Coturnix japonica: one gene and its partner. The protein of the gene in region 1 binds, or shares a complex with, the protein of each later gene. Links are inferred from orthologs where the notes say so. Each region holds a gene or a part of one and is shown in the gene's direction. Other genes may lie near its edges.

The links.
Region 2: the proteins of MMUT (region 1) and MMAA are in contact, whole or in part, in a crystal structure (PDB 8GJU), measured with the Homo sapiens proteins. The link is inferred for Coturnix japonica from reciprocal best matches to the Homo sapiens genes MMUT and MMAA. Residues at the interface, in NP_000246.2 of Homo sapiens: Lys496, Glu609, Arg610, Glu611, Gly612, Arg613, Arg614, Arg616, Ala635, Thr636, Ala639, Asp640, Gly642, Phe643, Asp644, Val645, Asp646, Ile647, Gly648, Pro649, Leu650, Phe651, Gln652, Glu656, Gln659, Gln660, Val662, Asp663, Ala664, Asp665; in NP_001362573.1 of Homo sapiens: Arg98, Ala99, Ala102, Glu103, Thr106, Glu109, Ser110, Thr111, His112, Ser182, Ser186, Gly187, Gly188, Ser189, Leu190, Leu191, Lys194, Thr195, Met197, Thr198, Ser201, Arg202, Met204, Tyr207, Ile208, Arg209, Pro210, Ser211, Pro212, Arg214.

Annotation. Positions count from the first base shown.
Region 1 is NC_029518.1:99,243,725-99,248,215, forward strand, and holds part of MMUT (methylmalonyl-CoA mutase, mitochondrial), read left to right. Parts: intron 1-19; coding exon 20-387; intron 388-1,085; coding exon 1,086-1,243; intron 1,244-1,788; coding exon 1,789-1,960; intron 1,961-2,308; exon of another isoform or gene 2,309-2,319; intron 2,320-2,326; coding exon 2,327-2,575; intron 2,576-3,575; coding exon 3,576-3,687; intron 3,688-4,464; coding exon 4,465-4,491. UniProt on the Homo sapiens protein: Catalyzes the reversible isomerization of methylmalonyl-CoA (MMCoA) (generated from branched-chain amino acid metabolism and degradation of dietary odd chain fatty acids and cholesterol) to succinyl-CoA (3-carboxypropionyl-CoA), a key intermediate of the tricarboxylic acid cycle.
Region 2 is NC_029519.1:27,401,144-27,404,457, forward strand, and holds the end of MMAA (methylmalonic aciduria type A protein, mitochondrial), read left to right. Parts: intron 1-1,178; coding exon 1,179-1,466; 3' UTR 1,467-2,114; downstream 2,115-3,314. UniProt on the Homo sapiens protein: GTPase, binds and hydrolyzes GTP. Involved in intracellular vitamin B12 metabolism, mediates the transport of cobalamin (Cbl) into mitochondria for the final steps of adenosylcobalamin (AdoCbl) synthesis.

The DNA of each region.
Region 1 (4,491 bases):
TTTTCTTTTCTGCACTTAGCTGGCCAACAGGGGTTGTCTGTTGCTTTTGATTTAGCCACCCATCGTGGCTACGATTCAGATAATCCACGAGTCCGAGGGGACGTTGGAATGGCTGGAGTTGCCATTGATACGGTGGAAGACACCAAAATCCTTTTTGATGGAATTCCTTTAGAGAAAATGTCAGTTTCTATGACAATGAATGGAGCAGTCATCCCTGTGCTGGCAACATTCATTGTGACTGGGGAAGAACAGGGAGTGCCTCAGGCCAAGCTGACAGGGACAATCCAAAACGACATATTGAAGGAGTTCATGGTCCGAAATACATACATTTTCCCTCCAGAACCATCAATGAGGATTATTGCTGACATCTTCCAGTACACCTCAAAGGTATTTATTAATTAAGTGTATGTACTTCATTTTTATACCCGGTTAACTATTAGGAAGAACTTCTTTACAGAAAGGGTAGTTAGGTACTGGAGTAGGCTCCCCAGGGAGGTGGTTGAATTGCCATCCCTGGTTGTGTTTAAGAACTGTTTGGATGTGGGGGTCGGGGATATGATTTAGTGTAGGGTTTTTAGAGTTAGGGTTCTGGTTAGGCTGCGGTTGGACTTGATCTTCAAGGTCTTTTCCAACCTGGGTAATTCTATTCTATGATTCTATTTATAAGTAGCAATGCAGAACAAAGCAGAGAACGGGAAGACCTGCCATAGTGAACAAAGATGCAATTGTAGAAGAAGGTGGGAAGACAAATCAGGACAAGTTATGGTCTCAAATCATTTGCAAACATTTATAAATGTTAGGATTAAGTAAATGCAAATCAAAATCAGATTCAGGCAAGCCTGAAAGGGTTTCAGGAAGGTTGGATACAAGGAGTAGAGAGGCTTTTTGTTGTACAAAGGGAGAAGCCACATAGTTAAGAAGCATTATTAGCTGTAAGAGGAGCAAGGAGGCAGAAAATCTAAAGGCCTTGTGTTGTGATATAAAGCATAGAAAGCAGATAAGGAAAGGAGTGAAGCCCTGGGTTTATGCCCTGGAAATTCAGTTTCCTCCTCCCTTCTTACACTTTCTTTCTTTTATTTTTGCAGTACATGCCGAAATTTAATTCCATTTCAATCAGTGGATACCATATGCAAGAGGCAGGAGCTGATGCCATTCTGGAATTAGCTTATACTATAGCAGATGGCTTGGAATACTGCAGAACTGGACTGAAAGCCGGCCTTACCATTGATGAATTTGCACCAAGGTGAGCTAAATAATATACTCATAATTTTTGGTAAAGTCCCTGGAGTTTAATTTTAATCTTCATCAGAAGGGGAGGTTTAGGTTAGGTATTAGGAGGAAGTTTTTCCCCCAGAGGGTGGTGACGCACTGGCACAGGTTGCCCAAGGAGGCTGTGGATGCCCCATCCCTGCAGGCATTCAAGGCCAGGCTGGATGTGGCTCTGGGCAGCCTGGGCTGCTGGTTGGTGACCCTGCACACAGCAGGGGGTTGGAGCTGGATGAGCACTGTGGGCCTTTGCAACGCAGACCATTCTATGAATTATACCATGACTTTGTTACGTTCAGCGCACTTTTAGTATCACAGGTTTTATGGACTGAAGTTACAAATGTAAAGACTGATTAATCTACTTATTTTCTATCTGCATTAAGCAGATGTTGGATCTGGACTAAAGTTGTCAAAAGAAGGAGGGGCTTTACTTTAATTGGGGGCTTTACTGTAGCTCTTGTCATTTACTGAAATTAAGTTTTTAGATTGTTTTAATGTTTTATCCTGTTCCTCTTACTCCAGGCTTTCCTTCTTCTGGGGAATTGGCATGAACTTCTATATGGAAATAGCTAAACTTCGAGCAGGGAGGAAGCTATGGGCTCACTTGATAGAGAAAATGTTCAAGCCCAAAGATCCCAAATCTCTGCTGCTGAGAGCTCACTGTCAGACTTCAGGCTGGTCACTCACTGAGCAGGTTAGAAATTGTACTCTGTTTCCTATTTAAAACACGTTCTCATGTTTTACTTTGAATTAATTAAGCTATTTGTAACCCAACTAAATCTAAACTGGGCTTTGCTTTATTATTGTGACCAATTTACCTGTACATCAATAATTCTGGCTTGCTTTATTGATGAATCTCTTTGCCTGAAATACTGTTGAGTGATATATCAGTTTCATTGGATGTCTCCCATTGACTGCTTTCTTTTTCGGCTTTTGGTATGATTACAGTTCTTCTATTGGGAATCTTGCATTGATTTATGTTCAGCAGTATAAGTTAAATCAGTGCACCTCAGCCCTGTGGCAGAAGCTTTGATCTTTTGAGCTTTCCTTTTCCTTTCAGGATCCCTTTAACAATGTTATTCGCACTACAATCGAAGCAATGGCTGCAGTGTTTGGAGGCACCCAGTCTTTGCATACGAATTCATTTGATGAAGCTTTGGGTTTGCCTACAGTGAAGAGTGCTCGCATTGCTCGCAATACACAGATCATAATACAAGAGGAATCAGGGATTCCAAAGGTGGCAGATCCCTGGGGGGGATCTTACCTGATGGAGTGCCTCACCAACGATGTCTATGAGGCTGCTTTGAAGGTTGGTTTAAATGCTCTTTTCATAGAATCATAGAATTACTCAGGTTGGAAAAGACCTTGAAGATCATCAAGTCCAATCGCAGCCTAACCAGTACCCTAACTCTAACAACCCTACACTAAATCATATCCCTGAGCACCACATCCAAATGATTCTTAAACACATCCAGGGATGGCGATTCAACCACCTCCCTGTGGAGCCTATTCCAGTACCTAACTACCCTTTCTGTAAAGAAGTGCTTCCTAATATCCAACCTTTTCTGTTTTGTAGGAAAATTTCAGCTATAGAATTTTTGAGAGATGACTGTTTTGTACCTTTTTAACTTCTCAGGGAGGAATTATTTAACATTTCAGCTTCAATGATTTTGTGTAGATGATCTTTATAATAAAGTACAGTGTTTGGATGATCCTATGTGGAGCCAGGAGTTGATGGTCTTTTTAGAACTCACAGTATTCTATGATTCTATGTCTCCTCATGTGTGTGTTACTCTGCTTCATATTTAGAAACTGGATGCTATTGCAAGCCAAGTTTTATTTTTTTTTCTTCCAAATAATACATTTCATTTGCTAGTTATTAGTTGCAAATAAAAGGTGCAGCACAAGAGTAGCCTGACTAGTGGCAGTCCTGAATTAAATTGTCCAACTGTACATGGAGCTGTTGGAATGGATCCACTGAAGGGCCACAATGATGCTAAGAGGGCTGGAGCACTTCTCCTATATAGAAAGGTTGGGAAAGCTTGGTGTGTTCAGCCTGAAGATGATGGACATGGGGGACACCTCTCTGCAGCCTTCCAGTACTTGTAGCTTATAAGCAGGAGGGAGTCCAGCTTATTACATGGGCAGATAGTGATAGGACAAGGTGGAATGGTTTTAAACTAAAAGAGGGGAGATTTAGATGATCTGATCAATTATTTGGATGCAGTGAGAATTTGGATGGTAGTGCAACCGCAAAGCTCGTTTTGTATCCTTACTAATCCTCTTTTTCTCAATCTTCTGCGCTTCAGCTAATTGAGGAGATTGAAGAAATGGGTGGAATGGCCAAAGCTGTTGCTGAAGGAATTCCCAAACTTCGTATTGAAGAGTGTGCAGCCCGACGGCAAGCCAGGATTGACTCTGGTAGGGAGCAAGAAGGCAAAAGAAGGGATTTTTTTTCTTTCTTTTTGAGATAGTACATCTGAACTGCTGTTCCTGGGTGTAAAACTGTGATAGCCAGCAGATGGCAGTGTTGAATGGTTGAATGCATCTGGCCAAGAGTCTCAGTTCCTTGAGAAGTGCCTATTCTTCCTGAAGAGCAGAAAAATGCACTCATTTCATATTAGGAGATGATGCAGTTCTTTATTTATGTATAGATACGTAATCACAAACAATGAGTGTTTGTGGAGGTGTGTGTTTATGTGCCAATATGTACATGTATACACACATGTATATGTGTAATAAATATGTGTTTGTATATATATATATATATATATATATATATGTTTATTGTCTCTATTCAGTTTTTCTAGTCTACAGGGATAACTTGAACAGGAAAGAAGTTGTATGAGCCTTTTTTGAGTATAAATTTGAAGCAGATTCTTGACTGAGACCAGTAAAGAACAATCCTAAGATGTTTCGTCTCCCGAGGTGAATTACTTTGTCCTGAAGAGAGGAGTAACACTATGAAGTTAGTGTTAGGTAGTGTTAACTGTGTTGATTGATCATGCATATAATCATCTCTTACAGCAAAATATGAGAAATGGACTTAAGTCCTTCTTATATTTCTTTAAAGTATTTGAAATGTTATAAAGCAAAGCACTGTATCTTATTACTTAAAATGTTCTCCTATAAATACTGTGTCTTTTCACACTAGTTTGCTCATATATTCTAAGTCTTTGGTGTTTCCACTGGAAATAGGTTCTGAAGTCATTGTTGGAGTGAACA
Region 2 (3,314 bases), on another chromosome or scaffold:
ATCTTTAAGAAAAAGATTCAGTACTAATGTAAGTATGTGTGCACACGTTTTCACTCTGTACGTGGATATGTGAAGGAGATTTGCTCTACACTGACTAAAATTGACCCCTTGAATTAAATTTACATCAGCTGAACTGCCCTTCTGTTCAACTTCTTCACTGTTGTTTTGTCATGTTTGTTTCTAGATCTGATTAGAATTACTAGTCACTGTGATGAGAAATGCAGCAACTGAAGTTAGTGCAGAAGAGCTGAATACTGAATTCTCTTACAGTTCAGATAGGATTTTTAACACTGTAAATTGTTGCAAGTGCAAACAGATACGTTTCCACCAAAATACTGTTTTTGACTCTGTTGATTCCTCTTGTTGCTGCAGCGTATTGTTTTGACATAATCATGTATGTGATACGTGGTTCTTTGCTTTTCATCACTCTGTGTGTTTACTTCATCACTATCTTATAAGCAGCTGATACATCTGGGTAGGTACTTGTTTGTTCAGCCTTATAAATGTGACCCTTAACACCTCTTTGAGACCAGTGAATCAAGCAGGTTATCAGAAATCTGTCTCTGTTTCAGTGATGGCATTGTCTGACTACTGGGAAAAAAAGGAAATATTGATGTGTAGGGACTTGAGCCATCAGATGGGAGAGAGATTTTTTTCTTAAAAGGATAAAAACAGTGGTAACAGTTAAAAGGTTCTGTTGGATGCCTATAATACTTTGGCAGAATGAATTCCTTGTCTGGGAAGCATATGTAGAAAGAAGTTTAATATCTCGTTTCTGGAATACTTGAAGTGCAGAAGGGTAACTATCAGTGTCTGTCTACCAGAATGCATAATCAAGTTTACATTTAAGTAAAATAGCAACACTGTACATTTTTAGCTAAAGATTGTATTTAAAATGATTCTCACTTGTTATACGAGCAGTTGAACAAGCCCCATTTGTCACAAATATTATGGATCTCAGCATCTACTTATAGTTGGTACATTCCCAACTTTGGGATTTATTTTTCGTCATGGAGAAAAGTGTGAGCATTGCAGAACTGTTTCGAGTGGCATTGGATATGTGTATTGAAGCGAGCTTGCCTTCCATGTAACTTGACTGTTGAAGTCTACCTGATGCAGTAATTGATCCCTTAAGCCCAGTAATTACGTGGCTTTAAACATTGTTCTGAATCCAACAGGTAATGCGTATCTCTGCCAAAACTGGAGAAGGTATCTCAGATATGTGGGATAAAATGACAGAATTTCGCGACCTCATGCTCACAAGTGGTGAGCTGATTGCTAAACGGCGGAAGCAGCAGAAAGTGTGGATGTGGAATCTCATCCAAGAAAATATGTTGGAACATTTCCGGAGTCACTTGGCAGTCAAAGATAAGATTCCACTTCTGGAAGAAAAAGTTCTTAGTGGTGTCTTGTCTCCTGGGCTGGCAGCTGATCTGCTGCTGAAAGCATTCAAAGATGGTCTCTAATCATTATTTTCTACTGTGTTATTGCTAATTCCTTCATGTAAACCTAAATATTAAATACGCTTTATGTGTGAATTCAAATGTTTCACTACAACAGACACTAATGGAATACAATTTATTAGTACTCTGCCACAAAAATACTGAGTGAAAAGCGCTGTAGGATTCTGTATATGTAAAGTTCAGTGCAAACACACACTCAGAGACTACTATATCTGGTACTTGAACAGCAGTACTGTTTTTGAGTCTGTACTCATATGGATTTGTTGGTCACAAATGTGAGCCTGTATCAAAATGTGACTGGTTTTGGAGAGTGAGGTTTGGTGCAGCAGTTTCACTGTGGGACTATCTTAGGGGTGATAAACACTTCTGCTTTCCATTCTGATTTATTATCAGTTGTTTCTTGTATGTATTACTTTTTTCTTCCTCTTGAGTCTCTGCAAGAACACTGGACCTCCTGGTTGCACCGGACTGCAGTCTTAGTTTTAAATACATTGAAAGCATATAAAAAGAGTTGTTCAGTCATTGGGAAGCTATAGCTATTTCCTGTATGCTAGGAGAAGAGAATTGTAACAATCATAGATTCTAACTAGATGTTTTAGTACAAAAGCAAAGTCTAATTAGACTTTTTAAAATACAGACATATGAAATGAGTGCCATCCACCAAGTTCTTAATCGCAATTCTTTTTCACAGAATCATAGAATGGCCTGGGTTGGAAGGGACCTTAAAAATCATGAATCTCCATCTCCCCTGCTACATGCAGGGCCTCCAACCTCCCCATTTAATACTAGACCAGGCTGCCCAGGGCCCCATCCAAACTGGCCTTGAACACCTCCAGGGTTGAGGCATCCACAGCCTCTCTGGGCAGCCTGTTCCAGCACCTCACCACTCTCGTAGTAAAGAACTTCCCCCCGATATCCAACCTAAATCTTCCCTCCTTCAACTTAAAACCACCTCCCCTTGTCCTGCTGTTATCTACCCTTTCAAAGAGTTGACTCCCCTCCTCTTTATAGGTTCCCTATAATAGAAAAATTGATCTCTGGTCTTATTTGACTGAAGTAAGCTTTTCATATTTAAAGAAAATGCTTACTTTTCTCCTCTCTTGTAGATCACATGATTTTTGTTTCCCTTGAGAACTCATCTGGAGTTGGCATTTTCCTAATTCTTGAACTGGAATGCAGAGTTATCTACTAAATATGAAGAGTAAAATAGGAAAATGCTGATTTCTTGAGGGCTGACAGAAAAGCATTAACAAGAGTTTTAATAAGTTGTTGCCGTGTGCTCTACTTTTCCTTATATGAATAAATATATAAGGCATTAGGTGTTTTTTTATAGTCTTGATTTTCTGTATGCCTATCATAGTATGTGAGATAGTTTGGGGTTTGTTTGTTATAATTTAAGTTTAGTTTGGCTTCCTAACAAGTATGCATTTTGCAGAGCATTTGTGTTCTGACAGTCTGAGTCTGGATATCTCAAACAATTCCAGGGTAGCAATGAATTGGTTTCCTTTGATTCTATTTCTTTTTTCCTTCCTTCCGTTTATTTTTTTATTTTTTATTTTATTTTTCTTCTGGTGACGTTTTTTTTTCTCTTCCCTTATACCAATTGTTACAATGTGTTCTCAGCTAAATTTGCTTTGTCTTGCTAAACCTCTGTACTTCCTAGTTTTCACTCCTTTATAGTTGTAATGCAACTATCAGAAAAAATTAATGAATGTTGAAAATGCTGAGGATTTTTTCCTTTGGTTTGTCAAAGTAGCATAAACTAAACAATACAGAAATCTCCATCAGGCTGCTAACATTTCAGTTACTTCTTCCATTGTATGAGGGCTTATGTTTCGTTGTCCATCTATT